Linked DNA regions of Coturnix japonica. The protein of the gene in region 1 purifies or fractionates together with the protein of each later gene. This does not show direct contact. Links are inferred from orthologs where the notes say so. Each region holds a gene or a part of one and is shown in the gene's direction. Other genes may lie near its edges.

Region 1 (4,561 bases):
CCTTTCCATACTGTCATTTATGATGCTAAATCCAGGTCCTGCTCAAGGTGCTGATCCAGATCCCTCACCTAGAAGGGGGGCTGTCTGCACAGCGTTGATCTCTCTCTACTTGTCTGCCTTTACAGCCCTTAAGTCTGACAGGTTCTCTCCTTCCCTGCGGTTTTTGTGTGCACAGCTCATCAGATACTCTACTGCAGCAGGAAGCCCCTCTTCCCTGAGAATTCCTTTGTTGTATATTTAGCAAACTTTTGACTGCTTCCTTCCAAACGAGACTGAAGGACATATTTTCGTAGGAGAGGGTGAGAATTGCAAAGCACGATCTACAATCACGTTTTTCTATGGGGAACTACAGAGCAGGGGAGGAGGAATCACCGCAGTTCTTTCTCCTTCCCCCCCCCCGCACCTCCCCTCCCCTTTCTCTCCTCCACCCCCATACAACCACAACATGAGACAAACGTGCTCCAAAATACAGCTGCAGAGCCTTCCCCCTCTTCCGGTCTTCCCTGCCATGGCAATAAGGGAAAAAAAGACATAATGATTAGGGTAGAATTATCACTAATATGAGACTGATGTTTTGACACCGTCATCTGCAGACTATTTAGAAAAGCCATTAGCACAGTGTCAGAGTTAAGCATAGCCAGTGCTCAGTGACTGCTCACAAGAGAGGCTCAGACGGAGGCACCTCTGCTCATGGGTAGGTCTGGATGGTTCCATACACGAACGTGCGCAGGCTTGTGGAATGAAAGGGAAGGGATAACTGAGGTTATGAAAGAGTGTCGCATTTCAGATGCAATCCCCATCCTTCATTAAAATCTCCGTTAAGAGATACCTTTTACAGAAAGATGTTTTGTAACAAATGAGAGGATTTCCTCTCCATTAAATATCACACTACAGACAGCTCCATTTGCTCCAAATTAGGTAAGCTCTGAATAAATATTTTAATTAATCCATGATAAATAAGCCAGGCTTTTTCCCAGAACAGAGTCACTGCTTTCCTCCTTGGCAGCAGCGGTCTGTTCTCTCTGTGCTGTATGTATGCACGTACATGCCTGGGTTTTTTGTGAGGGCTTTTTTTTTCCCCCCTTCTCTCTCCCTTTTCTAAACCTGTCTCTCAAATGATCGGTTATAGCACATGTCCTTATCTGTGGATTTCCTTGCGTTTGTGTGCTCTTATTTCAGGGGGGAGGAGAAGGGGAATAATCAGATTAACACACTCAGACCCGTGGCAGGATGCTCTGAAACATAAAAAGAGGGAGAGAAGGAAGAATTCACACATAAAAATAGAAGCCCACGTAGATTGGCCATATATGGAGTACCGGGGACTTCAGAGGGATACCCTCTTCGGACCACCCCTTTGGCGGAGGCATGTTGCTGCAGGAGGCCCCTTCCCCCCTCCCCGGGCGGTTCAGCCCCCGGCCCCCAGGCTCGGAGGAGGCCCGGCGGGGCCGTTTGTCGGCGGGGCGAGGAGATCGGAGCGGGAGGCGGCGGCGGCGGTGATGACTCAAGCCCGCCCGCCCGGCCCGCTCTGCCCCCCGCCCGCTCCCGCCTCCCCCATTCCCCCCCCCCCTCCGGGGAGGGCTATTAAAAGCTGCTGACGTAGGAGCGGACGGCCATCTTTGATGAGGGCACGGCTCTCGGTCCATTGAAGAAGGAGACCCGAGGAGGTCAGCAGCGGCTGTCCTTGCCTCCCAGCTGCGGCACCGAGACACCAACCCCGCCGAGGCGGCCCGGCGGAGCGCTGCACAAGCCGAGGTAAGGGCGGGAGACCACCGGGCCACCGACTGAGCAAGGGGAGGGGGCTGTATGAACGAAAATGAAGCGAAAAAAGGATTTGTTTAAAGGGGGACGCGCTCGGCGTTTTGTCTCCTGTCTCTGGGCTGCTACAGGGATGGAGGAAGTCGAGGAGAGGGGGGGTAATGCCGCCGCCAGCCTTATCGCCGGCTGGAACCATGGGAGGGAACCGAGCTCTGTGTTTCCGCTGTATCGGGCACGATCGAAGGCGGCAGGGAGCCCGAGGAGAAGGGCAAGCAGCGCATTTCTAACCTGTACTGGGAGCAGGGTGCTGCGGGGCTCTCTGCTCTGCTGGGTCGCGCAGGGCTGCAGCCGCCCAGGGCACTGCAGCGCCCTTCCCGCACCGCACCGCACCGCGCAGGGCTGCGGCGGCGCTTCGGCACCGCGGACGGAGGCCGGGGGGGAGGTCAGCAGGGAGTACTGCGGCTCTGCGGGAACGGGAGGCGGTTCAGCACCGCGGACAGCGTCCGTCAGCACAGCGGACAGCGTCCGTCTTCAGCACCGCGGACAGCGCCACGGCGCCCCGGGCTTGGAGCCGCGCTGCAGGCGGAGGCGGGTTCGCTGCAGCGCCCTGCGGCTCCGCACCCCCCCCGGGCAGCCAGCCCCGGGCAGCCTCTGCCCTGCCGCAAGGGAAGCGAGCCCATAGCTGAGCTGCTAGCTCCTTCCGGGACGGGACCTCAGGCTGAAACAGCTGGGGCTTTGCGGGGTTTCTCGGCAAGTCGAAGCGCAAAGTGGGAGAAATAATAATAATAATAATAATAAACAATAATAATTACAAGCTTCGGTTCTTGAAATTAAGCGGCTCTTCAGCCTGTCTCCCACCCGGCCGGTTGGTGGAAGGGCATTGGTGCAAGGGAAACGGGAGTTATGTAACACCTGGTCCGCGGGGTCTCTCCGGACCAGCGGCAGCCCCTAGGGCATCCCCGCAACCACAGAGGGTCGGCCCCGGGCATTCTGCAGCCTTGAGTCGGGGCAGCTCAGCTCCTCATGCAATGCAGGCAAACCCACCTCGCACTCCTGACCCTGGCATCCCTGTCCCTGGCGTTCCTCTTCCCCTGTCCTTCCTGCTCCCTGGCACCCCGCTTTCCTTCTCCACTTGGTACAGCTCACTGCTGGCAAAGTTGGTAACTTTGCTGTTTTCTGCAGGGCAAATAAACAAGAGGGGATGAGGGAAGTGGGTTGGGCGTCCAGACATTGCACTGCGTAGCTGCGTCAAATGAGGGCCATGGGATCTGCCAGATTTACGTGCTTGGCTTGAGTAATTGCTGCTGGTTTCATTCCCAGCTGAAAAGGGGGTGGGGGGGAGGAGGTGGGGATGGAGAGGCTGGTCTGTGGTGAAGCCTGGGGATGGCAGATCAACCCACCAAGCCATACGTGGTTACTGTCAGCCCCAGCTGCCGCATCCACAAGGACATGCCTGTCCCTCTCCTCCCTGCTCCATCCTAGCTCTGATCTCCATAGACCATGACAAGACAAGGCTGGTCTGGAGGCAGACACCTCTATGGGCTGCAGGGGAGGAAATGGGGCCATCTGGGTGATGAGAGCTCCAGGGGATACAGATGAAGAATCCTCCTCCCATATCCCTGCATGTCACTGAATCATGGTCAAAGATACCAGTCTAGGAAAAAGTGGCAGTGGTTTTCCATTGCTTCTGCATAGTGCATAAGGGGATGGCAAGGAGGTCACTTTGATTCCTAGGATGAGTGCCAAAGAGACAGCAGAAGTGACCAAAGCAAAGGTACAAGCAGGCCTGATTTGCAAAAGTGAGAGCTTGAGGCTCCCACTGAAGTCAGGAGGACTGGAAATAACCGAGCATGTTACGAAACAAAATGCAGCTAAACAGCAACCCCAAGTAAATGCAGTTTAACTATATTTATACAGCTAGCTAGGAAATGATAGTGAGATATCGGATTCTATGTCCACTGAACTCATGAGGGCAGAAAAATAAAGAACCCTTAAAGTACATCTAATGAAACACAGCTCCAGTTTGCAGATTTACTGCATTGGGGGTGGAAGCTGTATTTCAGGTCATCAGAAAGCTTTTCATTCATCTCTGTACAGGTTAGGCATGGCAACAGACAGTGAGATTAAACTGCTAAGGCAAATAAAGTGTAGTCTATATCTAATTCCTGCTCTGCTATAACCGAGCAAGGTAACTAATCAACATGCTTTCCTGTCTTATTATTAACTTAAGCAATTTTTAGGCTTTTGTGTCACAAGCCTATGTTGCAACAATTTGAGGTAAAATGGCAAGCATACAGCAGAACGGAGAACTCAGTCTCTTAATTCCTTCTCTCAGGAATGTAAAAAACCCTAGGAAGAAAGGAACTTGGTTTACCTTGGCTTGTTACACTACCATACTTGTTCATTTCATTTAATTTTTTCCTGATTTTTTTCCTCAATTTTTCATAACTAGAGTATAATCACAGCACTTTCATTATTAAAACACATGCACATTTATTTCAGACTTCTAGGGCTTAAGTCACTTAAAACTACAACAAATGTAAACTCACTTTATGGCCTTCACTGAAGTGAGTATGTTTTTCTTTATCTGAAGTTTCCTCTACTGCTAGAAATGCAGTCACCTTTGGGCTGGGTGAGTGCCAAGTAGTCTGTAACAGTATAATTGTTGAAGCTTTTTAGAGCATCTAACGCAGAGTAGAAAAATGTGTTTGAGAACAGCAGCAGGCTGCAGGTCTCAGGCAGATCACAATTACCTCTAGGAGGTTGGGCTTTGGAAAAGGCACTAGGGTTCATATATCTACTCCTG
Region 2 (4,288 bases), on another chromosome or scaffold:
TTTTTGGAACAACATCATTTAGCACTTTACTTGCTATTTACGTGTCTGTCACGTTGTTTACCATCTCTAGGAGTGGGACTGAAGATGTCATTTTGCTGTGCCTTATGATCTTGACTTTCAATATGTTAAAACTGCTGATTGAGAAACTAACATGGTATTTGTGTTCAACATAGTAATGATCTTTGCACTATGAGACCTGTACCTTGGATGCTATCAGTAATTACACTTCGCTCTGTCTCCTCGTGGCACCACCTTGTGGCACTTTCCACCCAGGGACCCAAGCTGGCCAAAGGGATGTTCCATACCATAGGACATCATACAGAAGGGCACATGATAAAGTGTGGGGTGTTTGTTTCTACCCCACAGCACTACAGGAGGTGGTCCAGCCCCTGGTGGTGGTGGCCATTAGGAGCCTTATCACAGCGGCAAATCCTTCCTGATGAACCACCTGGCCAGCCTCAACCAGGGCTCCCTGTCCATTTTGGGAACCTGTGGGGGGCATTCTGGTGCAATTCTGATGGCAACAGCCACAAAAATGCCTGGATCTTCATGCTGGCACTGCTGCTCTCCAGCACCTGGTGTAACAAAGCCTGGGCATCATTGACCAGCAGGGGCAGGAGAAGCTGCAGTATCCCATAGGGGGTTGAATGGAACTGGGGGAACAGTGGTGAAACCATGAGATTTGTGGCAAAGGGGGGTTGGGTCAAAGCTGGGGGATTTGGGATGAAACAGGGTTATGGGGTGACACGGGACTCGGGGCAAAGCTGGAGGATTCAGAGCAAGACGGGGATTTGAGCAATGCAGTACTTGAGGTGGAGCTGTGGGATTTAGGACTTGACTTGGGATGATACTGGGGGATATGGGATAAAGCTGAAGGATTGGAGCAATGTGAGACTTGGGGCGAAGCCGTGGGATTTGGGTAATGCAGTACATTACAATACAGTAAAGCTGTAGGATTTAGAGCAATGTGGGACTTGAGTTGAAGCTGTGGGATCTGAGGTGGAAGGAGGGATTTGAGGCAATGCTAGATTTGGGGTGAAGCTGTGGGATTTGAGTAAAAGGGGATTTGGGGAACCTTGTATTTAAAGGTAACGCAGACTTGATGGGGTGACGGGGAATTTAGGGTGAAAATTTGGGATTTGGGAGATGTTGAATTTGGGGGCAGGATGCAGAACTGTGGGTGAAAGTGTGGGACAGTGCGAGACTTCACCTCAGTACCAAATGGAGTCTCACCCTGAGGCAACCCCAGTGCCACTTTTGGGGGCAGATTTTACTTTGGTGTGTAGCAATCCCACTCTGGGGTGAGTTTATAATGACAGCAGGACAGGGCTGGGTCAGATTAGGCCCATGTTCTGGTTCATGCGGCCTCCATCCCTTTCTAAGGCGGGCTCCCGTCATCATGGCAACCAAAGGCCTCGACCGCGCATGCGCAGGCCTCGTCCCCTCGCTTTAGGGCGGGCGCTCGGTCAGCAGCGGTGGCGCATGCGCAGAGAGCGGCGGGGTGCTGGCAGCCGGGCCCGGAGGAGCCGTCACTCAGCCGGTCATGTCGTACGGGCCGCTGGATCCATATCGGGCCGGAGCGACGGCCCCGCCGAGGGATTTTAGTGGAATCATACAAACATGCAGCGCCAACGTGCAGCGCATCGCTCAGTACAGTGAGTAGCGGCGGGCAGGGCCGCGGTGGGAGCTGCTGAGGGCCCGGGGTGAGGCGGGGCTCCATTGCTGCCTGTGACAGCGGAGGGATGGCTGGGGAAACAGCATCTGTGCTGCTGAGAGGAGTGAATGTCATAAAGCTTTCTCTCCTCCTCTCTTTTTCGCTTCCTCCTTTAATTAGTTCAGCTCCTCTTAGGATGCTATGGCCGGGTCTCATGCCCAGCAGCCGCCCTTTCCCGGTGTGCTGCCAATTGGAGGTGAAACAAGTGTCTTACAGCTTCAGTCAGGGTGGGTGGGAGCACACAGAGCAGCTGACTTACCATTACAGTCATTAACTGTACTGTGTGTTTGATAAAGGGCCTGAGGAGAAGAGAAACTGAAGCCTTGAGCACTTCCTTATTTCTCTTTCCCTATAGGGGAAAATCAGCTGCCTTTAGAACAGTGTTAAGTGGTTCTTCTTGGTCTTGCCTTGCTGCTTGAGGGAGCAGGAGAATTGCTAGGAGCCCACCAGGTGGACTTTTGTCCTACACGATGCTCCCAGCATCTCTTACTGACGTTAAAGAGCGTGAAGCTGCAGAATACAGCGAGTCAGCTGGCTCATCTGTTCAGACATTCCCTTCTGAGGCTGGGAAGGGGTGGTTACCTTGCAGGTATATTAACAGTTTAATGGGGATGTTGAAATGCAGAGTCTAAGTGTTGTGTTATCAGCTTGAGTTAAGCAAAATGTTGAGAGAGGTCCTTCACTGGAGAAGCTTTCTAGCTTAAAGTAGGGATAAAATACACTAGAACTCATATTAATCTTGTGGTCTCTTTGTCTTCAGCTGCTCAGATAAAGAATTTGATGAGCCAGCTGGGAACCAAGCAGGACTCCAGCAAACTGCAGGAAAACTTGTAAGTATGAATTGGATAAACACTGTTTAGGCTCTTTTATTTTCACCTTTATTCTTAGAAGGAGGGAGTTACTTTGGAGAGATGCTTTACTGCATAAACTTAATATAAACTTAATTGTATGTGAATGGCTTCCTGTGTTGTGATGCTAATGGAAGTGTTGCTTCAGTAGATCCTTTGCACCAGCAGCTTTGAATCACAACCTTGTTGGAAAACATAAGAGCTGGAAGACTGGGGAAGGCCTTGCATTTCCCAGAGCTGAATCTGTATCATTCTTCTCTGTGAAGTTTCATGGATCTGCAGGAATTCAGTATCTGAGTTCTTAAAGATGTTTGAGCTCAGAAACCTTACTTGGTCTTTATTGCAAAGATTGAAATGCTTGGGTTGCTTTTTGGAAGAAACCTGTGTAACTATTTCTGAACTATTGTTTTAGACAACAGCTACAGCACTCTGCAAACAGCTTGGCCAAAGCGACCAATGAGTATCTCAAAGAACTGGGATCTCTACCACTTCCTCTGTCTGCTTCTGAACAGGTATGCAGGTAGAATTTTCTAGAGCTTTCTTTAGTTGCTTACTTGATAAGCTGGCTTAGAGTGCAATTTCACGGAGCTTAAACTGGCACAGCTGAAGATACAGCAGCTTTCTGCAATGAAAGCAGTTGTTGAAGTGGGAAGACGAACTCAGTCAGCTACATCCTGACTGTATGATGCTGAGGGGGAATCATTTATCAGCAGCAGATAGCTCTAAAACTTTGGGGAAAGCTGAGTATGTAGTTCTATTTCTGAGAAAATAATCTTGTTTACAGAGCAATCTGGTGATGCGAGACCATGTTTTAGGATAAAAACTCAGTGCAAGCTGAATGTCAGTATGAATTGTAATTACATCAAAAAAACTTTTCCTTCCACGGGATTTATGGCCTGAACTGAAGGTGGGGGAGGGAAGGAGCTGACTCAGGTTACTCACATTTAAAGAAACCTGCTGAGGTGACTTTGTCTCTGGCAAAACAGTCTTTCAGGGCATCCCTTCCTGTGGGGAAGGGAAGGGATGGGCCTCTGCCTTTGGAGTCTTCTGTCTCCACTTTAAATCACTGCCACAATACTGATTTACCTGCTCCTGTGATACTGTTATGGGATGATCTGTGGATATGGGTCAGCAGATGTTGTCTTAGTAGATCCAATTCTCTATCTAAAGGTTTAAATACCAGTTGTAAATACGGCAGTGTTTCGTGTATTTGTTCAGAAAGTGTTTTTCAGTTAATCTCACTCTGGTAAGCAAAGTCCATGTTGCTGAATGTGGCAGTGACTTCTGTAAGTGAGTGAAGCTGAAGAATTTCTGTAGTGGAAAATCAACTGTAAGAATCAGCTGTAGTACTGACTGTCCTTGGGTCAAGTCTTTTTCTCAGCTACTTGTTTCCCATGTACTGGATGTCACAACCTTCAAAGGGGACATGCCAGGGAAACATGCACAGGGCAGTTCCACAGTAGGTAGAGCATAGAGCATTTGGTATAACATGAAAGTGTGATGGGCTTTTTTTTCTCCTGTTTCTACCCCAGAATGCTGGGAAGATCACTTACATGTTAGCATTTACTTTTCATTTTATGTTTTGGAGAGTCTGATGGTTACAGTAACACGAATGGTAATATCTGAACGTTTGTTTTTGTTTCTTTAGCGTCAACAGAGGCTTCAGAAAGAACGTTTAATGAATGATTTCTCTGCAGCCTTAAATAATTTCCAGGCAGTACAGAGG

The links.
Region 2: the proteins of SNAP25 (region 1) and STX12 purify together in Homo sapiens (co-immunoprecipitation; 3 studies listed by BioGRID and IntAct, with this or other methods). This does not show direct contact. The link is inferred for Coturnix japonica from reciprocal best matches to the Homo sapiens genes SNAP25 and STX12.

What each region holds. Positions count from the first base shown.
Region 1 is NC_029518.1:11,889,174-11,893,734, reverse strand, and holds the start of SNAP25 (synaptosomal-associated protein 25), read left to right. Parts: upstream 1-1,591; 5' UTR 1,592-1,752; intron 1,753-4,561.
Region 2 is NC_029538.1:1,331,051-1,335,338, forward strand, and holds the start of STX12 (syntaxin-12), read left to right. Parts: upstream 1-1,467; 5' UTR 1,468-1,543; coding exon 1,544-1,655; intron 1,656-2,474; coding exon 2,475-2,544; intron 2,545-2,974; coding exon 2,975-3,074; intron 3,075-4,210; coding exon 4,211-4,288. UniProt on the Homo sapiens protein: SNARE promoting fusion of transport vesicles with target membranes. Together with SNARE STX6, promotes movement of vesicles from endosomes to the cell membrane, and may therefore function in the endocytic recycling pathway.